Linked DNA regions of Drosophila melanogaster. The protein of the gene in region 4 interacts with the protein of the main gene of each other region in a pairwise test. Each region holds a gene or a part of one and is shown on either strand. Other genes may lie near its edges. The genes, in order: CG4250, Eip75B, Ets65A and croc.

The links.
Region 1: the proteins of croc (region 4) and CG4250 interact in a two-hybrid assay, tested with the Drosophila melanogaster proteins (one large-scale study listed by BioGRID).
Region 2: the proteins of croc (region 4) and Eip75B interact in a two-hybrid assay, tested with the Drosophila melanogaster proteins (one large-scale study listed by BioGRID).
Region 3: the proteins of croc (region 4) and Ets65A interact in a two-hybrid assay, tested with the Drosophila melanogaster proteins (one large-scale study listed by BioGRID).

The regions. Positions count from the first base shown.
Region 1 is NT_033778.4:22,660,545-22,667,152, reverse strand, and holds CG4250 (uncharacterized protein), read right to left. Parts: upstream 3,462-6,608; 5' UTR 3,409-3,461; coding exon 3,240-3,408; intron 3,165-3,239; coding exon 3,032-3,164; intron 2,979-3,031; coding exon 2,876-2,978; 3' UTR 2,679-2,875; downstream 1-2,678. Other genes in the region: CG42867 (uncharacterized protein), read right to left, coding at 1,204-1,306, 1,369-1,469; CG42565 (uncharacterized protein), read right to left, coding at 5,988-6,084, 6,292-6,602.
Region 2 is NT_037436.4:18,060,538-18,068,807, forward strand, and holds the start of Eip75B (Ecdysone-induced protein 75B), read right to left. Parts: upstream 4,160-8,270; 5' UTR 3,974-4,159; intron 917-3,973; exon of another isoform or gene 409-916; intron 318-408; 5' UTR 1-317. UniProt on the Drosophila melanogaster protein: Implicated in the regulation of ecdysone-triggered gene hierarchies. Probably plays a key role in mediating the regulation of the larval molt by 20-OH-ecdysone.
Region 3 is NT_037436.4:6,093,709-6,102,079, reverse strand, and holds the start of Ets65A (Ets at 65A), read right to left. Parts: upstream 4,464-8,371; 5' UTR 3,609-4,463; intron 1,612-3,608; 5' UTR 1,551-1,611; coding exon 1,318-1,550; intron 1,146-1,317; coding exon 769-1,145; intron 1-768. Other genes in the region: loj (logjam), read right to left, coding at 5,818-5,874, 5,929-6,096, 6,168-6,431, 6,593-6,670, 6,737-6,883; CG10467 (uncharacterized protein), read left to right, coding at 7,685-8,371.
Region 4 is NT_037436.4:21,471,694-21,479,738, forward strand, and holds croc (crocodile), read right to left. Parts: upstream 4,787-8,045; 5' UTR 4,502-4,786; coding exon 2,975-4,501; 3' UTR 2,440-2,974; downstream 1-2,439. UniProt on the Drosophila melanogaster protein: Required for the establishment of head structures.

The DNA.
Region 1 (6,608 bases), on a different chromosome or scaffold from region 4:
ACCGAGTCTTGCGTTTCACTACTCTTGCGACTGCTGTTGCGCAACATTGTTGCTGGCAAAAGCTCTTTGTCGTAGCTTTGTATCTTGTTTGCATTGCTTTTGAGCGCCAACCAAGTCAAGCAACTTAATTTGTTGAAAGCGAGAGTAAATTCGATTGTCAATTGAAATCATGTTCAAGGAAGGAGGAAAGCGCAGTATTAAGTACTGGACTTTTAAATCTTGTTTCCTTCAATCGCCCAAGATTTTATTATAATTAACTAATGATAATCCAGGTTAAAACTAGATGAGCTAATACAATTACATATCTAAATAAATATGCAATTGACAATTTTGTCGTGTGCTGTGCAATAATGTCAATACAGATAAGAATGATTAGCTGAGTCAAGAGCAGTTATTGTACTTTACTTATTTATTTTATTAATAATATTCTACATATGTGCATACATTTAATCAAATTATTGAAGTCTTTAGAATTTGCATTACTCATCCAAATTATCACTAACATTTTTATTTATCGGTTGTCCGCAGCAACAAAAGGATCTAAAATAAGACAAACTTGAAACTGTATTTCATCTGGACGAAGGCAATCTTAGCTCAAGAATAACATACAGCGTATTAAACCACAATCTTTGGCTCCACGACAACTTGAAGTCCTCGGAATTAAGACATACTTGGGACGTATCTTTTGCTCCAGAATTCGGAATTGTAGCCTTCGGTTCGGATAAACTTTTGTAAACCTCCGCGGACCGTCCTTTGAATGCTGGTGTGCTTTTGCGTGGCATCTTTTCAGAACTAAGTTCATTTAATCTTCTATTTATTAAGCCTCAAAACTGTACTCCCGAATTCTAGGAACAAGTCCAAGCTGAACTGATAAGGCCCCACTGTTATCAACAAGCTTTTCTCAAGAGTATTTCTAGTATATCGAACAATTCAAGATGCCGGAAATAAAATCCCCTAGGCCTTACTTTTATCTTAAATTCTTTTTACAAGCCGAGCTCCAGACATCTGGAAAAATAAATACGTATTTTATTGCTTAAAACATATTACACTTAAAGTTCATGTATAGGCTTGCTGCTTTGGAATTTTTCAAAGTGCATTTCCAAAGCTCAAAAGCTCGTGTATATATATTTCATCTGCACTCTGTGGTAAACAGAAATGCAACAGCATTCCTATTTTATTTCAGATTGAGATTCGTATGCCATCTTAGGGGGATCGGTTAGGATCGCCTTTCCAGCCACAGGAACTGCATTTGTAGTAGGATTCATAAATGCCGACTCCACAATATCGATGACCGCAGCATATTGCACTAGCAAATATAAACATTTCAGTTGAAGTTGAAGTAATATCTTCTCATGTGCACTAAAGTACCAAAAATCCATCTTAAGCTTCTTGAATCGCGAGATAGCCAGGCGACTTCTCCTCACCATGGTATGTGAATCGCAGTTGGGACAGTTCGAATCTGTCGACATTTCACTGGAAGCTCCAAGCTTCAACTATCTTTTGTGCAATGCAGTTTGATTGCCGGTTGCATGTTGCAATTGGGTGACTCATGGAATTCTCATGAAGTCAACGAAACATACACATGAGCGTATCAGAGAAATTTAAAAATACTACTACATATATACTTATACACTCTGTTATCAGTTTTAAACTGCAAACTGTGTATTCGAATGGATTTAATAAGTTGATAACTGCGTAAATTTCAAATATCAATTTTTATGTTTTTTGCTACATTGTTTTGACTTTGCACCCAATTTTTGAGCAAACATTCGTTGCTGGAATATAATTGCGATATTAGTTATTTATCGTATATCTATCGTACATTGTAAGCACTATAATTTACCAGTATCTTATAACACATCCATCTATGGTAGTCTTCATAACTCATAGAACGCTTTCTTTCGACACTCGTGACTCGAATTTGCACGTTTCACAAACTATCGTTGTACAGAAGTCTGAATTATCGCGATGTTTGTGAAATAGGAGGAGGAGTTGGAATTCTTTGGTTTTTACCCTGATCATAACATTACGCTGGGTTTTCCATTTCACGCTGACGTCTAGAGCGCAGCTCAAGTTCAATTTACTGAACTCGCATTTCATTTCAATTTGCCTGAACTGAAATGATAATACTGACTGCTGGAATCAGCGAAGCTGATGAATCTCGGCAAATATGAAATCCGCTTGCTTGAATAATAACTTACTTATATAAACATGTTAATAAAATTGGACATCGAATTTGCATCATTTCAGGTATTAATCTGGATACTAGTTGCCAACATTTTTTAAATTATATGAAATTAACTAAATATTGTTGCCCATCTTTTTTATTGGTATTATTGCAGAAAAAGTTGTAATCAAATAAACGGATAAGCGATCAAATTACCTTGTTTCTTCCCTATTCCTTTGTTTAGTGTTTAATTCGAAGAGGGGAAATATAAAATCTAGGTATTAAATTACAAACCTTTTTCCACTGTTCATTGACATAAGTTGTTCAATATACATATATATATATATATATATCCAGTTTCAAGAAGAGGCAGCGATTGTTAGATCAACAATGTGAATGAAGTTATATAAAGGGCGTAGGATGCAGAACCTCAGATAAAAATATCTATAATATATTCCCGCCTCAGAAATTTCCGGGATTTATTAATATTATATACGAAAGTGTTAACATTCATATATCGCCAACAATTTGTGTGATTAGAAATTTATTTTGAAAAGTAAACCAATGCGAAAATTACATACATATATTCAATTGATTTGAACCAGAGTTGTATTTCGTGAATATTCGTGCCAAATCTGATCCCATCAATAGGTGTGGAGATACAAAGTGGGATCTATCCCTGTAATATTTGGTGTTGAGATAGCACTTCTAGTTCTTGTAGGTGCCCACGTAGGCTCCACAGCTGGTGCAGGTGTGTTTGGCCGACTGGCAGGAGTCGGTGCAGTACGGAATGCAGCAGCAGCAAATGCCCCTGAAAATGGCCATTAGTCCTGCGGGCAGGTGGAGCAAACGGGCTGCACTTACCCCAGCATGCAGATGAGTAGGGCCAACAGGTGGGTCTTGGTGCTGGGCTCGAACTCCACCTTCGTCTCCCTGCGGACGCCGCAGCTCGGACAAGTGGCAACGGATGGACATTGGCCCAGGACATTGGGTGGAGCTGAAAGAGGCACGATTGGATTTCGTATAATATGCGATATTATATTTTATGTTTGAATTGCACAGAAGAATTGACCATTATTTCCGATTGATTCATAGTTCTCTGTATTCTCACCCTGCAATATCACTCCCTGTCCCTGATGGAGCTGAGGATAGACCTGCTGCGGTGCGCTATCATAACTGGGCGGTGCCTGGAAACCCGGAGCCTGAGGCTGCATATTCTCGTATTGAAAGTTCTTCTCCATTCTAATTATTCCGACCGATGTGTGCTACGCGTTTGAATTGCCGACAGCGACTGAAACCGCAGAGAGCTCCTCCAACATTGCTCGGCGAACTTTCGAGTTGCGGCGCGATGCGAATTCTATATAGCCCTACTATGTCGGATGGCTTGCTAAGCGATTTCCGTTAAATATTATGTGGCTATCAGAATAAGGGCTTTTACATGAGTAAGTGTTCTTTTTTTTTTGCAGGATGAAAAGCTTTAGTAAGAAATTGCTCAGCCATGATGAATTAATTAATATCAAAACTTACCAATAAAACAGAAATGTTAGCACTTAGTAGGGTATTCCATTGTCAGGTAAACAAACCAGTAGCTTTTACCCTTCCGAAATGGTCCTTCCAGCTATGCTATTAGCACGTATATAACAACAATTTGCATATTTATTGAAAACATAAGAAATACTCAACTCTGCTCAAGAATTGCGTTGTCTCTAAAACAAATCAACCCCCAGGTAAAATCCACTCGTTTCTTCCTTGAACCCTTTTATTGGTGTGCTGAAGAATACATATGCCGGCACTACAATGATTTGTTTTGTTATCAAAATAGTGCGTAGTAATAAATGTGAGAGAGTTAAAAATAGATCAAGTGGGGATAAGTAATGGGGGCTGCATTTCGGCACGGCTGCTGGCTGCAGTCCACGACAAAAAAAAAAAAACAACTTCCGGCGGAAGTTGCTCAGCGCTCGTAGGTGCCAATGTAGGCGTTGCAAGATGGACAGTGGTGGTCGGAGTTCCGGGCGCATTGAGTGCAGTACAGGCAGCAAGCAGGGCCAAAGGCTGCACGAAAGAGATCACTCAATGAGAATGCACCCAGAATGTTAAGAAATCAATATCGAACATGGCTTACAAGGTAAGGCACATAATCAATGCTATCAGGTGAGTCTTGGTGGTGGCTTTCGGCTCCACACGAGTGGTAACCTGTTGACGGCAACTGGGGCAGACCACGATGCACGGTTCCGGGCCAACGGAAGTGGACATTTCGATGGCGGAGCTGCAGAAAGAAAGCACAGGAAACTCTAATAACTCTCATATTGATTGCAGCGCAGACCTTGAAAACTTGAATACGTCGCGTGCCGCTGGTGCATGAGCATTAAATTGGCTGGTTAATGGGGATTTTAATTGCACACCCGCCATGCAAAACAAGCTGTAATCCGCCTTATCTCCCGTCGATGGCACCACGGTGCTGCGCAATCCCTCCTGCCGCCGTGAGGTCATCCTCGTGGGCCACGGAATCTCTTGTGCCATGTGGCAAGCTTCGTGCCGACGCCGTCATCGCACAACCGCGTGTGTCTGAGCCCCGCTCAACCCCGATTCCATCCATCATCTTTGCTCGTCGTTTGGTGCAACTTGCTTGCTCGGTCTGGTCCTATCCAAAATCAACACAATCTATTTATGTATGTTCTCACTAGCGCAAACCACCCAGCACAGTATCCTTATTTAACAGCGGGTGTGTCCGTCGCCAGTGATTAACATTCCCCCCGAAATCCTACTGTCGTCCTGTATGTCTTTGCTGAGTTCTCCCCCAAGCAAAAGTAAATTTTTTGGGGAGCGGCAAAGCAGCGGTAAACATCTAAACAACCAGATATTACCCAATTAGACCTGACTATAATAGTCCGTTGCTCATGTTTGACCCAATCCTAGGCTTGCATAATATATCTCTCCCGTCATACTTACAATCTGTATGGGTGGGTACGTTGTCAAAATAAATAAAGTAGAATTCCGATTTCACAGAGAGACAAAAAGTTAATGCGCACTGTTTGGGCTGCGAAAGTGTTGTGCGGTCAGAAGTTTAGGGCGCGAAGCGGGACACTACACTTCCAAAAGTATTTCCGTTAGCAACATTATGTTGCCTAACTGGGAAGTGATATTTATATACATCCTTAAAATTGATTACAGCGTATCCCTAGGCTGAGTTAAATTAAAATCCTTTTATTCCATTTCTTAAGAACTAAACATTTAGCAGAAATTCAAATATTTTACTAAATATTCAATTATAATGCAAAGAACTTCAGTGATTTCATTTAATAGCATGAACAGTAATCTTGAAGCATCTTAGCATCAATTTAAACTGTGCCAACATGCCGGTTCGTCCCAGCAACATTTTACCGGTTCAAAACAGTTTCATATCAACATTTATTGCTGGACACAAAAGAGTTGTGCTACGAAAAAGTTTCGGGAAAAGACCGCCAAAAAGTACACAAAAACAAAAAAAAAAAACGTATGAACAATTAAGTTTCACATTATTTTTTCTGCAAATCTAGTTGTCTGCAGCAACAATGTAGCCAGATACCCAGAAACAGAAATTAAAGAAAATTCCATTCGCTTCAAAATCTATTTGTTTATTTTTTCGCTGTCAGCTTATTTTGCTCACTAAGCAAACATATTTTTATGTATGTTAAGTGATGAAGACACCACATTGACGCCGTCGATACATAAGGAGATATGAACATACATACATATATGTATGTATAGTTGGTTATGTATATATATATACATATATATAAAATGAAATGATATGAAATCGGCGAGTGTTTTCGCTGCGTCTTCAAAACGAACCCAAGCAGGAGTTGCAGTTGGGACAGTACTGGGAGGTCTTGTAGCAACAGTTGCAGCAGCAAGGGGCGCAGACGCAGGGCCAGCATCTGGTGGATAGAGATGGGAAATAGAGTATATAGCTTATAAGGCACGATCAGCAATTTCTCATAGCTTGTCCAGGAAGAAGCAAAACAATTGCGGCCACAGATATAGCAGACTAGTAAAAACATTTCTTTTTCCGTTTGCTTACATACACATTATGTATGTACAAACCTTTGTTGCTATACTTGCAACCATAAATGCGATCTACTTACAGGAATAGGCAGAGCAACGCCGCCATACAGTAAGTTGATCCGGTAGGATGGTGCTCCACGCGAAGGCGAATCCGAGCGTTGCAGTGGGGACAGATCGTTCCCTGGCGGGTATTGTCCACCAGCACTGTCGTCTGGTGATGCATCACGCTTACGGGCTGCAACACCGGCATGGTTTGGGCCATCACGGGTATCACCGGATTGGGATGTGCGGGCGACGCCAGGTTCTGCTGCATGACGTCCTCCGCTGGAGGAGCGGTGGCGAATGGATCCGAGTAGGGCGGCGGGGAGTCTACGCGCTTGTAGCAACGCATGCTTTT
Region 2 (8,270 bases), 3.4 Mb from region 4:
TATAAGGTTTAATCTTTGTTTGTTTATAAATGAATTTAATTGTAATATATATTCACTGCTTACACTACTTTTTATTTTAAACAAGTTACACGATTCACAAGATTTATTATTATGATTAGTATCAGTAATTTTATTCCAAAAATATATGTGTTTATTTGTATAGATATTTCTTAAGATTTTGCACATGAAACACAACGCTTTTGTTGCCTTTTTTGTTATAAACTTTTTAACCTGAGCATTAACTTCTTTCACTTTGTTTTTAATTAGATTTCCGTGTTTATACTTCCATGTAGTAGTTGTTTCTTTTTTAAACACCTCTAGAAAAATATAATTAGTTGATTTTTTGTATATTGGTTTGTGTTTGTTTAGTGGTGTTGTGTGAGCTTTAAATGGATGCTTAAGGGCCACTTTTTATTAAATTTTGTTTGTTTAACTGCTTTAAGCTCATTCATTGGGAATTTTCACTTTGATTTCAATTTGATTTACTTCGTTTGTTTTATTTTTTGTGGTTTTGGGCTCTTACACTTGTCTCTTTTGGCATTTGACCTTTGTGTTAGGCAATCGCAGAGTGAATTTGTTTATTAGGAACAACTTATTGAAGCACATTGCGAAAGGATGACGAATATAATGATTTCGTAGGAATCGCACAGCTGTTTTAGCGATATCTCCGATTTTCTGACATTAATGCTAGCAAACTTCTCTCCTCTTTTTCGTATATCGTATGGCCAACAGCTGAGGGTCGAATTCGAGTGGGTGGTCGGTAGCAACAGCTGGGCGCACGGGAAGGTCGTTTTCAGGGCGGAGTTGCTGTAGCAGCGGATATTTTTGGAGGACTGCGGTTCAAGAACAAGGACGAAGACGAGGTCGCGGCCGAAGGGGGCGGAACAGGACAGGATAGGACCCAAGCAGCTGTTCGGCCTGCACAAGGACAAGGACGCTCACGAGGCGCTACGGATACGATACGAGCACGATACACGGACACGGTTACGGCCACGGCCACGGCTCAATGTGGAAAACACTTGGCGCCCTTGACAATGGGCTATCGCTTATATAAGGGACCTTGGCGAGCTCCCATAATTATTGCACATTTCCCCGATTTATTGACACTATATGTATATTTATTATAATATTTTTCAATATATTTTTTCCTTATATTTTCACTCTCTGCTCGGCCAGTGGGGCTTTGTTTATTTGCTAGAATCGCGACAGGTTGGAATATATTCGCAACCGTTGCGTTGGCCGTACTTTCTCTGACTGAAACAGCAAAAGCTCTGAAAGCCAGAACAGAACCAGAAAAGAGCGACAAAAAAGCGAGTCGGTTCTCGCGCAAAAAGCTGCACAATGAAAGTGAAAACCGTATGAAAAATGAGAGAATCCGACTGCAAAGATGGGAAGAATTCGAAAGCGAGAGGCTCGGAGAGAGAGAGCGACTGCGTACGAGGAAGCTGAGGTGAAGAATACGAAAAGCAAAACATAAATAAACAAAAATAAACGCGAATGAGCCAGCCAAAAGAGAAGAACGCACACGGATTTTTCTAAACTTTTTTTTTGCGATGGGGGTTAACAAAATTTGGACTGGGGCAGTTTCAAGGGGGAGTTTTTGGAGTTTTTTGTGGCTAAGGGTTGATTATTCGGGGGTTGCTCGCTTCCCATTTGGGGTTTCACTTGACGGGACTCAACTTCCGTGTTTCAGTGCGTATGAGTAATGTGCGTGTGGAGAGATTTTCGTGGGGTTGCGCTTTTCGGTTGGTCTGGGCTACACTGGGTTATTTTCTCTGGGTAAGGGCAGGGTTACGCATTGAGGTAGGTTCGGGGTCTGCTCGTAATTGATGAATGGAGCTGTATTGCCAAAAAAGGGAATATTGCGCATAAAATTAAATTAGTTTGGGTTGGGGCTTGGCCTTTTATGTTTTGTTGAAAGTTTTTGAATGTTCATCCTGTAAAAAGTGACTACAAACATTTTATCTGAACATAAATTTATAAAAACAAAGGCTGTTCTACTTTAGTCTTGTTACAGATAACTTTAATTTAATAAATTTATCATTTTCATTATCACTAAGCATCAAAAGTTTAATACTTAATAAGAAGTATTATCAACATCGCTTACTTTCACCTGTCTATAACACGAAATCAGAGCAATCATCTGGCATTGGCGAAACAAATGCATATTTTTTCCAAGCGCCATGAGATGATGCCTCATGCCCCACAATTCCCTGTCTATTCGATGGCGGCCATATAGCGGAAGTTTCCGCAAACGTCAGTGGGGGAGACCTCCAGAAAAATGTACGGAGATACAAACGCTAGGCGCCGAATAAACCGCTATTTGCAAACGAGCAAAGGCGATGACACTCGGCGTGCAAGTGTGTGCACTCGCGTGTGCATGACAACATTCAATAGCAGCGTAATCAACAAACAAAATGCAACCTCACGAGCTGCAACCATTTGACAGAGTGTATATGTTGAACAGGCTTTTAAAATATAACAATTTATTTTAATAAAACTTTTAATAAAATGATGCTTTTATTCGAATATTTTGCAATCACATACATAGTTGTGTTTAATTGATTTCAAACATCTTATTTAATTTAAAAAAAATTGGTTAGTAATAATAATTAAATCTATGTTGTTAGCCACAGTAAATTTAAGTGAAAATCAACGTTACGGTTAAATAAAAAATTATACTTTGATTACACATTTTCTTCAAGTGCAAGCCCACACACAGACTACAATCAAAAACGCACACCACAGCACGAGGCGGCAATGTATTGACCTTAACACTGAACGACATCGCACACACTTGCATTGCAAAATAAGAACTTGAAATAGAATAAATCGAGCAAGAGAGCAGTGCAAATAAAAAGAGAGCGCCGAGAGAAATAGAGCACGTGAGTGTATGTGTGTTCAAGTTCACCCACACCAAGGCGAGTCTAACAGGGCGTCTACAGTTGAGCAAGCAGCGCTCTGTTAACGGGCTGCAGATCCCCTGTTAGCTTTCCTCCTCTGTTTTCTTGGGGTCTCTGCATTTCAGCGGAGTTGCCAGGGGGCGTTGGGTGGTGGGGCTGCGTTCTGTTTGCAGGGGGTGTGGCTCGCCTCTAATGAGGGTTGCAACTCCAGACGGAGTTTCATCCGAGTGGAATGAGTCAGACAGCCGGGGAATGGGTCCAAAAAAGGAGCTTATTCAGCAGGAAGGATAAGTGCTTTCGAGTTCGTTTTTTTTGGTCAATAAATTTAACCATCTAATTGAGGACTTAGTTACGCCTGATATCCGAGAGTTAAAGGTCATGCGACCCTTATACATGGTTTTGTGCAATATAAAATGATCACTTTTCTATCTTATGTTTGTCGGTTTTCGTATTGTTCTGTTTAGTTTAGCAACCTGCTTTTAATTTACTTTTAACTTTTAGGCTTTCGATTGTATGAACTGTTAAGTACTTCGCAAACCTTTGTTCAACTATTTCAAATTTTATATTTTTACTTTTTGCTTCGTTTATTATTTTAAAACAATTTGAGAGCATTTCTATGCACATTTTTCGTTCTTGATATTATTTGACCGTTTTTTATGCTTTCATGAGTCACATAATGCTTATACATATGTATATGCTTAACATCGTTCAGTTATGCGCAGTTAAGTGAATTTTGTTGAATGGTTCATGAGTTTAAGCATAAGTTTTCTATTTAAAGATAGATCAGTTTCACAAATCCTATATATAAAGGATTTCTGTTAGTTGAATTATTTTCAATGACGACGAGTGTTAACTTGCACACAATAATATGTTACACCATATTTTTTTATAGATATTTCTGTATTTAATATTGTCACAGCTTAAAATTTTAAACTTTGGCAATTGTTTGCACTATTCTGATTGTGATTGAAAAGACTGTCCTTGTGCTTCCCTTGTTACTTGTGATATTTATATAGCATCGAATTGGCACACAAAACTCACACAACTCTGCCTTAATCCAATTCACGTACAAAGAGTTCACCACTTATTCGGACGCATCACGCAGATACTTTTTGTATCTGCATTCAGAGGATTGCTATTTGTCCCGATCGAATTCTGGTGCTAACAAACGAAAGTTAACCGCCGATTGGTAAGACGATTGCGCAGAAGAGGAAAAGCGCGACAGAGGACGGAACGCGACGGTGACGGTGCGTTCCACATGACGTATTCAAAATGACTGAGACCAGACCGAGACTGGACTGCAAATTTTCGCAAAAGTGAAAAATTCTACTTTCAATATGAAAACGAACTGCGCTGTCGCCGTCGACGCCGACTGCGCTGCCTGGGCGGGAGTTGTGCAGCGGCAGCGCACTGTGGGTGTGGGTAAGGTAGGTCGTGGTATGGGAATGCACAGTGGCTACAGAGAGAGAAAAGGGAGAGCACCATCACCATTACAGAGAGTGATAGAGAGAAAGAGCAGAGCGGAAGGCCGACAGAGCCAGAACCTGCAGCGAATGCAGAGAACAAAGCGGAGCAGAGAAGTCAATGTACAAAGCAGATTGGGGGTGCAATGGACGCCGAACATGGAACTCAGGCGCGGACGTGTACGTCGCCACAGTGGATGCCCGCTAGAAAGAAATCGAAATCATGCTAATTTTTCAGTTTAAGAAATCTGAAATCTTGAAACTTGAAAAATTATTTAAACAATTAAACAACTAAACAAGTTCTTTAGAGCATTATGTTAATTTTTTTTTGGTTTAGCTAAATTAGAAAGAATTTTTTAGAAATTTGCTGATGTTTTCATGTGGAACATATGGAAGGTGTGTGTTGATTTCATCCTTTAATAACCCAAATATATTTTACTACTAGCTTGGAAAAAAATAAAAATCCCTACCAACCTATATTAAAATTTTTAGGAACTCATTAAATGATGAACTATCAATAAAAAGAAATAATAAAATAATCATTATCCAACTAGACAGGCCAAATTAATGATCTCGATATCGCAACATTTCAAGTTGCCCTGTACCGGGCTTTCCAAGCTTATTTCCATGTTTCTGACGTGTACAGTAGTACATATCGTGGTTCCCGCCTGGAGTGACTTGCCCCTTTTGCGTGCTTCTTTTGGGGTTGCAAAGTTTTGGCATTCCGGGAGTTGTCGTAGCACAGAAATTAAAAATAATTGCAAAAAGTCGGCGAGTGGGTGGATTTCTCGGGTTTTCTGATCCTGGTTGTCGGTCCCTGTCTGTCTGGAGTTGCAACCCCTCGGGCAACGAAATGAAAGCAAACTTCAGACTCTTGGACTTGGGGTGTGGAAAGCGAGTGGGTATCAAAGGGCCGCGAAGCAGAAAAGGCGAGAAAGGAGTAAGAGGACAAGCGGTTTCCTAGACACTCGATGGGCTACTTTTTGTTTGGTAAGGTCGGTCCCAGGCAGAGATACTTCCTTTATGAGCTTCGATTTTAGCCAGCATCGGGGGTTGCACTCTTATGGATCTGGCTTTCATTGTCTTTCACGCTGTGGGATAGGTTTGAAGGGAACAGCATCTTGTAACCTTGATTTTCTTATTTGCCATTGTTGTTGACAAGACGGGATTAACTTTCAAGAACTTATCATCACTGTTCCCGGACAGCGTTTCAAGAAAACCCCCCGTGACTACACTATTATAATTTTTTAATAGAAACTCTGAAATTGCATATTGACTATTTTATTTTATGGAATATCGATGCTTATTATTTTAAGTTTTAACGACTGTACAAATAAACTATAGCAAATGTAATTTAACCTTGCAAATACCACTGCAGACATTTGCCAATTCAGGTTCAGTCTTCTGGGGCATTTTGGAACCGAATCTGTCTCCTTGAGGACCTCCAAATGCAACGAGGGCGTTGCATTGAGACACTGGCCCTGGCAGCCCTAATACAATAGTGGTCAAATACCATGGTCAATGACAGCGTCGTGAAATTTGCAACTGGCGACACGTGGCAGGGGCAACCAGACGCCACCCTTGGTCCTTTTAAGAGGATGCCCCCGTCAACCCAATCTGAATCCAGTTAAAAACGTCTCTCTTTCTCTCTCTCTGCATAGAGCGGATGTGCAAAAGCGCATGTTTGCGAGCTGCATCGATGCACTTGCCACACGGCTGCACGAAGGTTAAAAGAGTTTTCAGGGGCACTACGAGACTTACTACTGCTCCATCGGGCGAAGACCAAGGACCAAGGACCAAGGGCAAGGACACGCAGGCATGCGCATTTCCGCATCCGAAGTCGGGTCCTTGGCTCTGGTTCGGTTTCGTATTCGGATCCATGGCTGGAAGTGCCTCATTGCCAAGGTCCCAAGCGTGGGGAAGGCAGTGATGCCCACTATAGACTGATACAAGTTCCTGTATTACCTTATGATGCATATCTAAGCCAAAATTTCAGTATAGTTAAACAACTAGTTCAAATTGCTTAATATAAATTGTATGATAGAGGGCACCATTTTAAATATTTTTCCATCCAACGCTTAAATACTACAATTCTATTAAGTGAATTTTCACTTACCCCTCATTTTACAAAATTGTCAGTCATTGTTAAACATTACTGTACAGTTCGATGAAGCAGGCGTAAAGCTCCTGTAAATGACATTGGGTAGTAGGTGGCAGACATGGGAGAAAACAAATATAGTGGGTACCGGGTGAAGCGGATTAATTTCAGGGCTGCACACTGCAGTTCTTTTGCATTTCCTTGACAAATTGTAAACTGAATGCAACCGATGCAGTGCAAGGATATATGGCACACACGTGTCACCCACACTCACGCGGTCGCTAAAATTCGACATTGCACCGATGGTCATTAAAAGGTCAGCAGAAACAAGTCCTTGCCCAGATCCGAACTAAAATGCGCAAATGTTTGGCACGCTTTAATGTTATCATCATAATATTTTAAAATATGTAAATTTAACTTTTATTTATAACAATTGATACATTTTGTATGTGAGGATTGCATTTTAGAAGCAACTCGCAAAGAATAAATACAGCAACATATATTCTTGAATAATAAATATTGGGTATAATACGTAATGAGGTTCATATAGAAAATATTTTTTAGCAAGCATTCTGTATCAATAATAAAAGATTTTTCCATACATTTTCTACTTAAGCAGACACTCACTGTGATTAAAAGTAGTACGCAATTAAACATAGAAAAAAACATTGTCTACGCCAATTAGTAAAACTGTTGACCAGAGCGAATAAAGCAAGTCCGAATTTACATAGCCTAAACAAACTAAACAAAATGAAATTTCGGGCCTGGGCCAATTATTGGGTCAATGTGCGTGCATTGAACTGATTCGGCCAAGTCAAAGCGTTAACGTGGCCAAAAGTGTGCTATAAGTCACTCGCCTCCAGAGGGTTCATTGAGACTAATTTTCATGGGGACCCGCAGAGCAGGAGACAAGGAGCTCCGGAGGGAGTATTTCTCCTTATTTATGGCAGAGGAGCAGGCGTCGGGTCGGTGACTCAGTGGCAATATTTGGGTTTAGCAAGAGTTTATCCCCTTGTCACCCTTAGAGCTTCTCCTCTCGTTGAAAATATGGGAATTTTCGACATTGCAGCCACACAAAAATCCCTACAACGTTGCTAATCGATAATCTGAGAATTTTTGTTTATTTTTTTTTCTCTTTGTAACATAAAATCAGGACAAATATAAATTAATTTATTAATATATACACAATCTTCCACTTTTTGGAAGTATATTTAAATAAAGGATGTCATGCTTGAGGTGAACAAGTTTAGATTATTCACCTCTATTGTATTATTCCAACCTGAACCCAACCTGAAGTTGAATCATTGTTCCAAAAACTCCCACTTTAGGCTACCAGCGCCCAACTACCTGATGAGTAAGCCACGGAATTTGCGGCCAATGTTGTTGAACCTGCGCGGGACTCGTGTCCATTGCACCTGACACGCACTCCTGGATGGAAAGGACAAGATTGAAATGGATGGGTATGGCGCTCAAGTTCAGGCGCAAGTTCAAAGTTCGTGTGGGGCTTGGATTTGCTCGAGTATTAGTCATATTGTTTAAATTGTTCCATGTGCATGGCTTTGCTTTAAATATTTGGTGATATCTCTTTTGCTTAATAGTATATATTAATTAATATATATTTTAAACGACGAATATATACTCACATTTATATACTTCTCCAAAATGATAAAAAACAACATCAATATAGAATTTTTTGAAACATACATATATATTTTGGTATTATCCTAACATTATTTTCATGATAATCTTGATAATTTTGGGCCAATCTATAAATAACATATGGCATATGGGAGCCCAAATTTATAT
Region 3 (8,371 bases), about 15 Mb from region 4:
CCGACCCTGGGAGACCTCAACGTTTATATGGATAATTCAATTTAAAATTTTTTGCCCAATTTTTTTGCTTCTTATTGTTGGTGATACAACGAGCAGAATTATGTACATGGCTGGTCGCGGTTTTTAGCCGTTGTTTTGGCCATTAAATGTTACGGCCCTGGACATATTTGGTGGTTGGTCAACTGGGAAGGGCAATTGGCGGGGGTGGCCATTGGCCAACATATGCTGCCTGGATGTGTTTAAATAAATACGCGAAATTTGCCACTTTTGTGGCACAACATTTTCGGCAGCTTTTTTTTCTCGGCTTGGGTCCGTTTTGCCTTGGCCGGAAGCGCAGGATTTGTTTTTCCGCCATTTCGTTGACAGTTTTGTGCTAGACAATTGCGAGAAGGTCAGTGGGTTGGTGCACTACAAAGTATTACGCGTTCGTTTTGTTGCATAAATCATTTATATAACGACCATATTTGTTAAGAAACAATATAAGAACGAAAATATAATAATTTGTGTTCAATATGAGGTTAATTGAAAATAAAAACGACAAAAAACAATTATAAAAAAGTTAGGTAGATAAAGCAAAGTATAACCCTCATCTCATCTAATTTAATGATTACTTTTATTTAATATAAATATAATTTAAATGATTTTAAAAATAAGACAGATTGCTCCCATTTCGAAAATGTCTACTATTTGTATATAATTTATTATTATATTAATAGTTCTTTCTTTCGATGTATAATCTATTGCTTCTGCCACATTAAATTCACTTACCTGCCCTGACTTTGTGCTCCACATGCGAGGAGCTGGACGCTGTTAGCGATGGAAGTGCTGGAGCCGCACTCACCGCATCCAGAGTTCCGGACGTGACCTGTCCGGCGCTGGACGTGATGACGCCGTGCTGGGTGACGGCTGGAGAGCACCCGGATGGCGGCTGCAGTGTGTCCAACCGATGTCTCTGCACGCCGTTCCCACTGCTGCTCAGAACTCCGGCCGTACTGCTGCTGACCGCATTGTAGTTGAGCACTCCGGCCACGCCCACTCCGACATTGGGATTGTGTGGAAGGCCAAGGCAATTGCCGCCTCCATTCCCGGACTGAACGGGCAGGGTGTCGAGGGAGTCCGTTAAGCGCTGGCTCGAGTAGATGTCGCTGTGGTTGGAAAACATACATTTAAGATATATATACCATAATACCAATTAATAAGACCTCAAACTATAATTCTGAATTCAAGATTAAAATTCTTTTAAAGTAAGATTTCCAAGTTAAATGGTTTATAAATTTTATTTAGTGCAAAATAGTTACATCTTAAGATGTTACTCACCTAAAGGCACTGCTGGCCCCGAAAAAACTGCTGCGATCCTGCAGCGCCGCCTTGGCCTTCTCCACACTCTGCTTCAGCTGCTCGAAGGTGGACTGATGGAAGCGGTACGAGGTCCATTCTGGCGAGCACTGTCCGAGTGCAAGGCACTCCTCCGTTTTCACCTGGGCGAGAGTCGGTGGCGATACCCTCTTCAGGTCCAGCGCCGTCTGATACGAACAGGAGTTCTCGTACATGGCGCACGCCTGGGGAGCCTCGATGGGTGGCTGTTGGCTAAACAAGGGATTCCACTTGACTCTGCCGGAGAAAGTAATAGATAGAACAAATTGGTTTTATAGTACTTATAAAACTGCGAAAATTACAAACGAAAATGAATATAAATGAATACTTAGTACTTATAAGTTACTAAAACTTAAGATATTTATTCATACACTCTTGTACTCTATTGGTAGTCAAACCAGAAGATTTAATTGCTTTAAAGTCCAAGTAAACTCCATCACTCACCTCATGGCAAATTGCAGAGCGAGATATTAATAAATCATAGCGCGTGGTCCACAATTAAATACTGCAATTTTAGAATGCCTCTCGGGCCAAACAATCGCTCTAATTGCCATGGCCCCAACACGTTAAGCTAGCTACCCGAAAACCCCCCCGATGTTCTGGCATAATTAATAGTGGCTACTTTGGAGCTGTGGAGCTAGTGTTCCCTTAGATATAAGCACGACGTGCATAATTATCTGGCTCGTTATTTATTGTGTGTACAGTCCCGCTTTTTGCACTGGGCCAACGTTGCGTATGAGCGTTGAACTGTGCGTGGGTGGCGGCCATTTGAGCGTGGCTCTCTAATGTCCAGCTGGTCGAAGCTGGGGAAGGCGAACCATTGTTTACTGGCCCTTTTCGGCCAGTCTGCAGTTAGCACACACAGGGGGCATGCAAATTTTTGCACTCTGCCCTCGTCGGAAGTTGCTGAATTTTGATTTATGCCAACGAAATTTATGCCATACAAAGTGCGACTTGTCCTGTCTCTGGCTTAAAGTACACCAAACATACCCGAAATGAAAACTGTAACTGAAACCCCAGCAGCTTTAAGTTTGCCGGGAGGAGTAAATAGATTTCGTTATCGAAACGGTCGCATCTACAGAACATCATCAACTTTGCGCCTTGTCAGACATTATAAACGGCCTGCACACGCCTCATTTATTATTTATTATTTGTACTCAGGCCGAGTGGCTGCGTTTGCATGTAGGCAAATTTCACCAGCGAACATTAGCAGGCAGACATTTTATTTTTTTTGTATTCTGGTATCCTTGTATTCCCCAAGTTATCACAATCGCTGAGCGAACGCGCGCACACCGGAAATACGAGCGGGATGCCAGGATGTCGGTCTGCAGATGGGCTGAATGCTCGTCCCGTTCTGCAGCGCGTGCTGAGTCCTTTGAATACCACTTGGTATCGCTGTGATTGCCGAGTTTATGCTCTTCGACAGCTGTTAATGGTGTAATCCCCTTGTTGGACGAGAGATCCTTTAATTAAGAGGCCACACGTTTGGCTGCTCTTTAATGGTTTGTAAGATTTTTATGCGATTTTAGGAAATTAGGATTTTTGAATGTTTGCACAGCCGACTGGTTGATGAAACTGTGCTGCTGTTTAATTGTCAAGCTTTTACCCAATGATGCTGCTGATGTGCTTTTTTTCTGGTTTATGAATACTTCCGTTTTAAGTCTACTAATTCGATTAGCAGAAACATATGCTTCACAATTATCTGATGATGGTGGGGTGAGCTTTTTAGGGGTTGGATAACTGTCGTTAGTTAGAAATTAAAAGCAACCATCTAAGTTCACAGGTGCTGTATCTAAGCGCTCAAAATTCTATGTAAGTGGATTTAATTTATCAGATCAGAATGTTTGAATAGAAAGTATCATAGTTTACAAATATCTTAGAAATTCGAAATAAATTCTATCAAAATATTAAAGTTTATTATTGTAATTATTCTTTACTGACATTGGTTATAAATTTTTAGATTTAAAATAGACTTCAACATGTCTGGTATTCTGAATTCGTACATTTCAAATATTTTTATGCATTTAATATTTTCCCCATTTTATGCTGGAGATTTTCCCCATTTAAGCCTAGGAGTATGTTTTCAATTTTTGAATAAAATTCTACCGTTACGATATTATCTTTAATTTACTTCAACTTTGGTTCAACAAAGCACTTAAAAATACATTAGTTATTTAGGACCCCGTCGGAGTTCTGAATCATGTTGATCATTCTATAATTCGAACATAACTCACCTCAGGATTGTGCCTGTATGTGCAATAAAGTTTATCCAAAAATAAGTCTCCTCTTTGACTGTCTCTTAAACTTCCGTCGGGACAACTTAAGTTACAACTTAGTAATCTTAAACACTTCACAATCGTTGGGAATCGGTGCAGTTAATCACTCACTCAAGTGCGTACAAATTGCCAACCGGAAATGAAATTATTGTCAAAATGGCGACGGATATGCGACAAGTGAACGCGACAGCGACGCGCCACGCAAATGACGGTTTTGTTTGCAGCCAAAGTTTCGTAGTCCTGGAGCGGATATGCAAGGAAATTTGTCACTGCAAGGACGATGACGGCGACGACCACCAAGCCAACTGGACACCGACGGCAGCGGGCTCCTTGGGCATTTCTCGATGTCTTTTCGCACAGGTGCAGGTGCACAAAAGGTGGGTGGTGGTGGGTGGCGAGGGGTGAGAGGTTCGCAACGAAAGCGGAACGAAAATGAAATCAAAAAGCGAAATTTCTATAATTTCCGCACAAAAATTTCCGCGACACACTGGCAGGACACATGTGTGTGTCCTTGTCTGTTTCTTTTTCGTGCGCTGCCACGCCCACAGCCAGCAACAAGCTGGGCGTATGTGTCCAAGTTTTCCGCACTGCTTGCCGTGTGTAAGTGTACAAGTGTGTGCCGTGTGTGTGCTTTGTGTTTTTTGTGGTTTTTGTGCCTTCGTTTGCCGCTTGTGCTGACCAAGAAAGGTTCGCTAGTTTGGTCCTTGTCCCGGGAATATTGACGACGTGTGACCGACGAATCTAAACCGCAAAGTACCGCTATTATGTCGTCCGCGACGTGTTGCACTTGGTAGCGCGCACTCCAAGTTAATGTGGCGGCCAGATCATCCCGTCCAGTCACCAGTCCACGCTCAAAGATGGCGACACACTCCTCCCACAAGCGGTGGCTCTGTGTGGCAGGGGAACTGGGCGCTATCACCGAGGATGTGTCACCCCATCGTCCTGCGTTTCTGCGGCGGCTAATGCGCAGGCGCGCTCTCCGCACCACAACCCCATCCACCGCCCACTTTGCCGCTGCTCTGTTATCTGCCGCTGTCATCGGCTGCTGGTGGGCGGAGCCAACTCTGTGCCATCGGGGATGTGGATGTGGATGTGGCTATGGCTGTGGATGCTCCTGCCTTTCGCCGGGTCCTTTGCTCCGCGTTCTTGGGGCATCATTAGTGCTGCCGAAGAGAGAAGACCCCATTTTGGGCGGAAGTGCGTATGAGCAATATTTTAACAATGGCGTTTAAAACAGTTAAAGAGCGTGTGCTGGTGTGCGAGGCCATTAGGACCTTAGTTTTGCGGTGGCTTTAAGGCCCGCAGATAAGCCTCGCATAATAACATTTTAATTTCGAGCAGCAGTGGCCACAAAAGACCCGCCAAGATACCCAGATGCTCCTGCTGCCTGCCAAAAAGGATATAATTAACATGCCAGCTGCTGCAGAGCACACACACATGTGCTAAATGACGTCTAGATAAGCGGTGAGCCTGGTGACATGATTTAAGGTCCTGCGATGGATGGGGCAGGATAATTTGCGATAAGCGGCATTCGGGGTGATTAATTTGCCAGCCCAAGTTGTGGAATGTCTTCGAAATGTCTTCAGCTCTCAATTTAAACTAATGAGCTCATGTACAGCATGTATTTAATATTTAAGATTGGTTTTAGGCAACGAGAAGATGTCTTTGCAACAATGTCGTAATTTGAAAATAACTTACTCCCATATAAAAAGAAAAACAGGTTTCTTAAAACAACAACCTGAATTATATATTTTTAAGTTTAAAATCCTTTCCAGGATAATGAAATTTAACGGTTAAGTGAGCTTACCAAAGCAGCTTAACTTTAAAGCTTGTAGAGCTTTTAGTAAATTAACAAACCCAAATGGCTTCGAATAAATCCTTAAGGTTCTTTCCCAAATAAAACAAAGCAAATACAAAAATCTTCAATCTTTTAATTAAACAAAACACACAAATGTACACTTATCACAATAAGTTTTGCTGTCTATAACTCGTATGACATAAGTAGTCCCAATTATAAAAAAGTCTGCTCAGTTGCGCTTGATCAATTAGCCAGTGATAAAATAAGTTACAAAAACTCATTCAGCAGGTAGAATAGAATGAATGTCTTGGAAATGCGGATGGAATTTTAGAAACATGTTGCGAAGTCTTTGAAAAGTATCTTTGCGCCTTAGATGCGACTTTTGGAGCTCGATTTTACTTCAAATAGTTTGCGCACAAAGAATACCTGCAAATATTAGGTTATTAATTTAGGAAAAGCAAAAAACATGTCTATACTCGCCTGTACAGAGCACGTGATCAATATGACCACAATTTGGCTAATCGAGAAGGTTTGAATATAGGCATTGTTGTCCAGGAGCAACGCATAATCACGCGATTCGCGATGACGACTGTGGGCTTGATAGCCCATCATATCGTTGATGTTGCGCTCCACAGTGCCAACGGTGGCCTAAAGAAATAGATCAATGTGAATATTTGTAAATGGATGTTTGGGTGTGTCTGAAAACCAGTTTGGCTTACAGTGAAGTTTTGCATGTTCAGCTGCAGCTGCTCGATCTCCTTGGCGTACTTGTCCCATGCATCGTACTTCACCACCGTGATATAGATGTTGACCAGCTTGCCAGCGAATCGGGAGAACTGGTTGTCAATGCAGACGGAGTAGTAGCCACCGGGCGATACCTGATCCGTGTAGTCCGCAGTAGCCTGCCACTGGTAGGGCTTCACCACTTCACCAGCAGGATTGCGGACGGCGAAACCAGCCATTCCATCGCCTCCGCGCACCACCTAAAAAAAATTTATATGAATAATTTCATTGTATTAGATAGATTATATTACTGTATTAATGGATTCGATTTGATTTATTTTAGAATATCACAGACTGCTCAAGGGGAAACCCATCCATTGGATCGGAAACATGCTATTGATCCCAAATTCTATCAACTTACACTAAAGGACACGTAGAAGGTGGCTCCTGCCTTAACGTACTGATGGTAGCAGTCCTCCTTACCAGCATCTATGTGAACCTGAAAGAGAAACCACGTTCCCGGTGAAATTTGATGCTCTAGAGGAGTCTTAAAATCAGCACACACCTTATAGTCCATGGCCACCGCTGGCAGATTCTCGTACCATGGTTGTTGGGCCTCCTGAGCGCTGGTTACGTCGATCAAAAGACAACAACAAATCAGAGCAATCGGAAGTACTAGATTTATCTGATCTCTCTGCCACGTCAATTGCATTTTGGGATTTATACTCGTCGGATTAGTGGTGCCTGGGTGGGGATGAACTCAGGGGGATCTAATCTGCCGTTTCCTCTGAGCTCTCTGTCAACAAAAAGGGTTAACTGCACCGGTTAGCTAGCTTTCTATTTGCCAAACTACCCATAAAGTTAAATAAACGAATTCAATAAACAACCGACCTGTTGCTTAGAGGTGGACTATTTGCTGTGTGGTATTTCTAGAGCAGGGCTGCCAGATCTTTGCAACTGCCACCACTGTGTAGCAAAGATGGGCATTTAAACATATATATAAAAAAATGTATATTGTATTCAAGTATGTTAATAAAATTGTTCTATTTAAAAGGCTTAATAAGCAAATATCAAAAAATTTTACCAACAAATTTTTAACTACTAAAACAAGCCCCTGCGAATTTTTACTTACTACGCACATGTAAAAACAGCTGGTCTAAAATAGGTAAGGCAACTCTAAAATTTGAATTGCAACTACGGCGATTAAAAGATAATTTAAGTAAGAATTTTCTGAATTACCGCTAAATTTGGAATACGAACATTGCACAATTCTTAAAGACTCCACAAGGTGTCTATCCCCCTTATCGCAGACTTTCCCACCAATTTGTGATAACTAGATCTGTTTATATATGTACGTACATATGTACATTTTGTTTGCGGCTTTTTTGCGATAATTAAAACAAACACATACGCACATCGAGTGCTGATTAACCTTTACGGCTTGGAGAGGGTCAGATAAAAACGCAGTGCAATTGGCACTCGTAATCATTCCACAGCTGCAGCCGGATCCAAAATGGTCAACGTCACGGAAGACGTCTTCGCCAACGGAGCGGTGAATCCGTTCACCAAGTCAAAGGACACCATCAAGCGGTTCACCCTGACAAATGGAGCTGGAATGTCCGTGCAATTGATCACCCGTGGAGCCACCATTACCAGCATAAAGACGCCTGATGCCAGCGGTCAAATAGATGACGTGACCCTCGGATTTGACGATTTGGCGGGCTATCAGAGCGAGAGAAATCCGTATTTTGGAGCAACCATTGGGCGGGTTTGCAACCGGATTGCCAATGGCAGCTTTTATCTTGATGGAAAGCTAGTTCAGGTGTCTAAGAACCGAGACAACAAGTTTCAGCTCCATGGCGGCTTTGTAGGCTTCGATAAGGCTCACTGGGAAGTTGTGGAAGTGCGTGTGGATGGTGTTACCCTGTCCCACACCAATCCCGATGGACACGAAGGCTATCCCGGCAAGGTGACAGCCACGGCAAGCTTTACCCTCAGCGAGGATAACTGCCTCCATGTCCAGATGAGTGCACTAGCAGATAAAACCACTCCCGTGAATCTCACCAACCACTCCTATTTCAACCTAGCTGGCCACAAATCTGGAGCCAACGGTCTCTACGAGCACACCATCGAGATAAATGCTTATGGAATCACTGAGACGGATCAGTCTTCCATTCCCACCGGCCGTATCACACCCGTA
Region 4 (8,045 bases):
ACAAACATACATAGGTGTGAATGGTGGAGGGAGGTGGCGCTGAAAAGTCCGAAAAATAGGCAGCGTTAATTACAAAGGATCTCCCGCGGGGCCAAGTCATAGTCGTAGAATAGATACATTGTAACCGGTGGATACGAAAATCCTTGTGACTGCAGCACATTTGGCAGCTGGCCGGCTAATACTTGCATTTAATTAGGCTTGCAACAATATTTATGTAAATCGGGCTGGTTGCGCGATGAGCCACAGAGACAGCTGTCAATATTTGTGAGCGGCACGAACGACAACCATTCCGAAAACCATTCCGCCCGTTTTAGCTCGATTGGATTATTGGGCATTTGGCATTGTTGTCCTGCGAGTTTCCCTGCCTGTGTGTGTGCGTATCGGTGTGTGTGTGTGTGTGTGTGTGTGTATGTGGGCGCGTCCTTATCGCTAAGCAAACAGTGCAACATTTTGTCGCCATCGCATTTATTTTTCTTGTCCTCCGCCTGGCGTTGCGCTACAGAGGATTCCCTATTCCCTATTCCCGATTCCCGAATCCCAATTCCGATTCAGTTTTGTAAATTCTGGACCACCCGCGCAATCAGCGACGGCTGCACTCCAAGCAAACATACAGCCACTTTTCCATCCAGACTCTTTTTGTTTTCGCATTTAATTTTGTTGCTTTTCACACCGAATGGAGACTCCGGATGGCATCGAATGGCAGTTTTGCTGTCAACCGCCCAGCCGACTGTATTTGCTGCCAAAAGTGCTGAATTTGCATACCAAACTCGTTCCCCTACCGATCAGCCAAATATTCAGATTGAAAATATTGAGCTTTTGGATACGAATAGCCTAGTTTATTGAGATAGGAGATGCCCCTTTTTGGCTGCCAGTATTTGGGGATATGTGAACATTCTAATCCATTCCAATAATTAAATGTAAATAATAATATTAATGATCAAGAATTTAAACATTTTTCGGTACGCTACAAATCCTTTTCTTTCATCTCTTAAATGTAGTTTGCTTTTAATGGTGGTTCCAACTATAAATATTTTTTGTTACATTTTCCAGTTTGAATTGGCAGATACAACCAATATCGCTGCCCATTTGATTTTGAAAATTTCAACCATCTGACCAAAAATCAAGCCCTTCATGCTCAGTGGAGTCTTCCATTCGAAGATTACTTTCAGGCCTACTACAGTCTTTGGCACACTTTTGGCTGGCACTCGAGCGCCATTCACATGCCACCCAGCCAGGTATTCCATTGTTGGGGCTACGAACAGCTAGCCAAACCTATTGACTGACTGGCGTTCGAGCGGTGTCCGCCATTGAAAGCAGCCGTCCCAGCTGCGAAGCACCTGAGCGGAGATTGGGCCACAAATCGAGAGCCATACAGATACACACATGACCAGATTTCTTCCCCGAGTGCGATCTCAATGCCGCGGTGGCGCCAAGCGGCGCTCACTCAAGTGACAATGTCGTCGAGCAGCCTTTATTGGAATAAATCCAAAGCCGAGTTCCGAGACGAGACCATGACCAGCTGCCCATCGTCATCGCCAAGTTAACAGCGTATTTTGGCCATCAATCAGTGGCGCTTCATCTGCCGATCTTTGGCGTTGGTTGGGTAACTGGTTACTTCGCTGGCTAATAAGCTCAACATACTGATTTATTCGCACTCACTCACGCTGCGCAGGCTGGTGTTTTACTTTCTACCAATTTGTGGCAATTGTCTGGCAATTAGGAGCAGCTACAGTGTTCCCTGTGGGGGCACAGTTTTCTTAACTAAAGATTTGTAATTTGTTGGCCATTGTTGGACGGCAACCTTAGAGAAAGCTAACATTTTCGTTTATAAATGACACTTTTAGGGGGGAATAATAATATAATTCTTCTGGATACAATACGATCTTGTCAGTTGCCATAAAGTGGCTTAAAGGATCCTCAATTTCAAGTTTTTAAGCAGAAAGAAGCTCAGACTACACAATCTAACAGTGAATATAATATTATAAATACTAAAGTTACCCTTTTTTGTAAATACCTTTCGATAGCTAGTCGTGCATATGAAGCATACAATTTCCTGGAAATTTTCATTTATTATTCCAAAAGGTCGAATGCATAATTATTTCCACTGAAAGGGGGGAAGTGTTTTCTATCCGATCGCTTGACAAACGACATATGTCCACGTTTGCAAGTCCATCGGAACTGCAGCCAACTGATCGAGTGAGTCCAAATGATATGATACGGCTACCCAGAAAGCCATCTTCCAGTGACAATTGGCCAGTTGAGTCATGCATTCGGGGCTCGAAACGGACACGCCTTGAATAATTATTTATCTAGGAATTCTGCGTGCGGGCTATCCAGTTTCGGGGTAAAAAGTCTGTTTTGCCAGCCAAATGCTCAATGGCCAGATGGAATAGCGAAAGTCGCTCCGAATATGAAGGGGCCAAATAAAACACACGATTTGAGATATTTTAACATATTTTCAATACACTTTTTGTTCGGCTCATATTGGTGGTACGCTAGTTTTGATAGTTATGTTATAGCTACGATTTAGTTGTATAATTTATTATTGCTTACGTGGGCTAGGCTAGTGTACTAGGCGATGATAGATCGATCCGATGCGGTAGTTTTAGTTATTGACAAAATGCTCTAATTTAAGTTTATGTTCTGTGTAGCAAAACCCCATCACAAATTGCGTAGCAGACAATTGGGACTATGCCTAAATTCGATAACAATTACGAGCTACAATTACAAATACAGTTAATACAATACAATACGTTAATGCGGTTGCTTAACAGCTATGTCCCCCATTATTTCGTATACGGATAAATCGAAAACAAGTTGGAAACAAAAAGATCTGAGATAGCAGACTCTGGACCCCGAGGGATCACCACCCCCAGGCTGTGTAGACTCGTTCTTGGGTATATTATATGGTGTATGTATTTACAGGAATATACAAGAGAGCCCAGCCCAGTCGCCGAGAATCCAGCCCACAGGCTTACACCCCGTACTTGATGCCGTACTCCTGGTAGTGGCCCACATGCGGTCGGTAGTGGCTCAGATTGCTCAGCTGACCCAGCTGGCCCAGGTTCCCGCTAAGCGCCGCATGGTGATGATGGTGGTGGTGGTGGCTACTGATCACCGCCGCCGCTGCTGCCGCTGATGCCGCTGCCACGGATGCGGAGGCAGGTGGACTGGCGGATTGTAGGCTGCCGGTGGGACTACCGGTGTCCAGTTGGCAGGATTGGTTCTGCTCGAAGATCATGTCGCGGAAACCCAGTGCCGATGTGGGACTGCTGGTCAGCACGCTGGAGGATCCTCCACCGCCACCGCCGCCGCCTCCGCCACCGTTGCCCACTCCATTGTGGTTGAGTACGCTGCTGCTGTTGTTGTTATTATGTCCCGGGTGGGTGGGTGTGCCCTGCTGCCCATTGTGAGGAACGGGTTCCGATGGTGGCGTTTCCGGGGTATACCAACCCCCGTGCGCGGGACCATGCGGAGTTGAGATCGTGGTGGGCGAGTGTCCGGACGATTGGCCTCCCGCTCCTTGGCCGCCGGGGGTCAGAGGATGGGCCACGTGCGCCACATGACGCTGCAGTTGCTGGGCATGATGGGCCGCCGCAGCGTGGTGGACATGATGCATCTGACTGCTGGCCACCGTGGCCAAGTTGTCCTCGTTCAAGTGGTAGGGATAGGCGCTGTGATGGATCCGCGGGTTGTACACATTCATGAGTGAGTCCACGGTGAAGCCGGGATGCTCCACTCCGCCGCCAGCCAAGTGGTTCATTTGGGCCAAGCTGTCGTGGCAGGAGTTGAGCATTGCGGCATGGGAGACCTCCTTGCCACTTAGACAACCCAAGTCCATTAGGGGCTCCTTTTTGAAGTGGGCAGCATGGGCGGCCATGTGCTTGGCCTCCAGTATGCCGTTGGTCATCAGCTTGAGGGGCTTCATCTCGGCCAGCTTCTCGTTCATCATGGCCTGCCGCTTGATGGCCTCCTCCTTCTCCCGCATCACATCCTTCTTCTTGAAGCGGCGACGCCGGCGAAGGAAGGAGCCGTTGTCGAACATGTTGTAGGAGTCCGGATCCAGAGTCCAGTAGGAGCCCTTGCCGGGCTTCTTGTCATCGCGGGCCACCTTCACGAAGCACTCGTTGAGGCTAAGATTGTGCCGAATGGAGTTCTGCCAGCCCTGCTTGTTGTCGCGATAGTAGGGAAATCGCTCCATGATGTACTGATAGATCCCGTTCAGGGTCACCTTCTTGTCCGCCGCATTCTGGATGGCCATGGCTATCAGGGCGATGTACGAGTAAGGTGGCTTTACAATCTCCTTGTTCTGGTGCGGGGCACCCAGGCCGTAGGCGCTGGCCGAGTACGGATAGCGGGAGTACTGGTCGTATGCGTAATGTGCCGCTGCTGCAGCGGAGGCGCTGCTGGCCGCCGCCACCGCGGATGCGGATCCGTAACCGGCTGCGGTCTGGGCATAGTGGCGCGTAAAGGAGTTCTGGTCGCTGAATAACGTATGCATGGCGGCGATTCCGGCGGATTTCTGATCGATTTTCCACTGCCGCCTTCTGGTATTTTCGTACTCTCTTGCTTTTGTCTTGCTTTCTTTCTCGAACTTAATCACTTCACCACTGGCTGCTTCTTATTATTTCTAGCGATAATATTTGCTTAAACAAGTCGCTCACATAAGTGCAGATATATAAATCTATATATATATATATATATATATGCATCTATTTGTAGTACAGGGGAAATGGGAGCGCAGAGCGAGCGCAGAACCGTTCGGTATAGTAACACGTCTGATACTGAATCTGTGTAACTGAAATAACACACAGCTCGCATCGAGCAGAAGCGTTTGCGTCGGCAGAGCGTCGCCCGCACCAGAAAGTATCTCGATCCGCTGCCGCACAGTATCTGTGTGTACCCGCACAATGTATCCGTATCTGCATGTGTATCTGCAGCCAACCAACGATGGCTGCCACTCGCAGTCAGTAAGTGAAGTGGGCCCGCAAACACAGCTGCGTCGAAAGTATCTGTGTGTGGCCAAGAGAAAGAGAGAGAGAGAGAGAGAGAGAGAGAGAGAGCGGACGCCATTCATGCTTTCTTTTTTGTATAGGAAAAAATAGTTAGCTAGCTACGGTGTGTGTCCTGTGGGCACTCCTCCCCTACCCGTCGCTTTTCCAAGCCCTTGTTTTTGTTGTTTAAACTAATGCTTAAAATACGGCCTATCGCCCTCTCTCTCTCTCCCTCTCTCTCTCTCACTTCCGCTCTCGCTCGCTCCCTCTATCTCGCATTCATGATATACTAGATACAATGGTAGTAAGAGCGAGCGAGAACCACATCAACTATGAGAGGCACCTGGGAAAGCCAACAGCACAGGCACAAGTGGGTGGAGGTGGTGGTGAACCAGGGGCTGCAAACGAGCCAACCACCCACTTAACTCACCCTTCCAATGACTTCGGCATAAATTAGTGATAAAGTTCTTTCGATCTCAGCTTAAAGTTGTTCGTCTTCTCGGGAGAGGCAGAGACCAAAAAGTTGCCTGCTAATTTGCAGTTTGATGGGTTTTCGCCAAGATGTTCAAGTTAAGGGCCACGTTTGAAGGTTGTTTTCGTTGAGGGCAAGGCATTAAGTTTTTAGCAACTCCCTTTTTCGGGCGCTTGAATTGACAATGGTTTTTTTGGTGTGCAAAGGGCAGGAATTTTTCAGGCTTATTTAAGGTAAGAATTTCAAGAATACTCAGGATATTAGACAAACATGTTTTCCACAGTTTTTCAAGAACTATTGTATCACCCTATATATAGGATCCTTATATAATAAAGATTCATTAAATTGTTGTTCATGTTAAAATGTCCTAAAAAAGAAAACCGAAATTTTTCTAATATCTAAAATGTATCTAATATCAAAAAGAATGAATATATATATGTAGAAAACTTTTCCCTTCTGCAATATTATTATGAAGCGAGTTATTTATTTAAAAATTGCTCTATTGGCGTGATTAGTTTAAATCAGAGATAATAATAATTGAACAGTTAATACAAGTAGAGTTTTGTACCATAAATTTATAACATATTAAAATTGCACTTGTTTTTATGTTATCTCCTATCCGCCTTTTGACTTGATACTCATTCACTCCACATTTCCAAACATCGAAAGGGTTACTAACCAATTTACAAGCCAAATAACGATAGAGTCAAACATAAAAAGTCCTTCGGCCTCGTCCTTCCCTCTCGCGACTCCTCTGCTCGTTGAGTCCTGCAGTGTCGTTTTTTTCGCAGACTTCATTTCTATTTTCTGCTTATTAAAACAATATTTTTTATTGACTTTGTCAGCTTTAAAGTAAATTTCATATGTTTATTTGGGCAAGGGCAAGTGTGCGTGTGGATGTGAGTGTGTGTACGCGAGAGGCCGAATGGGATGGGCTGGGTGTTTGTCTGGTTATTAGACACAGGGAAAACAAACACGCACATATTTATATTTGGATAATTTAAAAGTATGCTGACTATTTTTTATTTGTACTTTCCGTGGCTGTCTGCAAAAACCGAGCGCTTTGCATCACTTTAAAACCCCAATCGTCTGGGTAATTGATACAAGAATAATATTTGGCTCTATTAACGCAATCGCATTATTTTGACAAATATTTTTATTGTTTTAACATAATTTTTCGCATGCGATCTGTCGGAGAGGATGAGGCTATGAATCATCGTCATGTGTGTGTCCAGTTGGCCACATATCCTTTGCAGGATGCGAAAGGATGAGAGTCCTGCATTTGAAATTCGAATGAGGCGACTCCGCCGCCGTATGCTCCATTTTACGCACTTTATTTGGCTTCCTTCTGGTTTCGTTCCATATTTTTTTCATTTTTTCCTCTCGAGTTTCAGGATTGCTGCTGCTGATTTAACAAATTTCGTCTTCGACATCGGCGCCGTGATTGCGATTGTATGGGTTTCGCTGTGGGTGTGAGCAGTTTTTTGTGAGTAACTGTCTACTGGCTACGTCTGTGCATTTAGCGCAGTTCATGTTATTCTTACGTAGTTGCCATTGCCTGTCTGTCCGATTCCCCCATCCCCCATCCTGCACAGCTACAGCTGTCCGTATCCGTACTGCTCTGCCACTCCATCGTATCTGTATCTGTATCTATATCTGCAGCCATCCCACTGCATTTGACCTATCTAAATATTGATTTAGTTTCCCAAAACTGCAACTTAACATTTTCTCCGCGAATGCAGTGAAAGCTGAAAGCTGCTTTTATCTCGAATGTAAAAGTTGTTTACTAGAAAATAATGCAGTTTTGTGAAAAATGGTCGTTATTACGTGATATATTCCTAACATATCTTATAGATATAGAATGACCTTGGTCTTGTCCCTTTCAATAATTAAAAACGCGAATCTGCATAGCCCTATGAAAAATACTATCTTTCGTTAATCGATTATGACTCCGAAATATGCCTTAATTACCCAATTAAAATGATCATTAAACACAAATCGCAGTTCTATCAACTTTAGGCCTTGATGGGCGCCTATTTGACAAGCACAAAATTTGTCAATTTGGCAAGCACATTTGCCGTACTGAAATGACAACCCCCCCATAATTTTGGCAAGTGGAAAGCGAGTTTTGGTAGATGTGTCTCGCCCATTTGCCACGCTCAATTTGCTGCAGTCAACGGAACGTTGACACCGCTGTTGACAAGGAGAAGCATTTGCAGAATGAGGAGCAGCCGGCGAAGAAACGAGTGCCAACATGTGGCCGTTCAGTGCCCATTATTAAATTTTAGCAATGCCCTTTTTGGGCAGAACTCTTTCTTCTCTTTTTTTCGGGTGAGTAATCCAAGAATAATATTGATTTTAAAGTGCAGGGGAGTGCAACTAATCAGACACTTGAACCAAGGACTTAAGCAGCCAAAAAAAAATACAATTTTTTTTCGTTGGGAAGGACAGGAAAGGAAATGCAGGAAAAATGCTGATAAAGCGGTTTCGATCTTTGAAATAAGCGTCACTCACACGCACGCAGAGAGTAAAGTAACGCACACAGATACACGTCGACACACAGATACACGCATACGAAC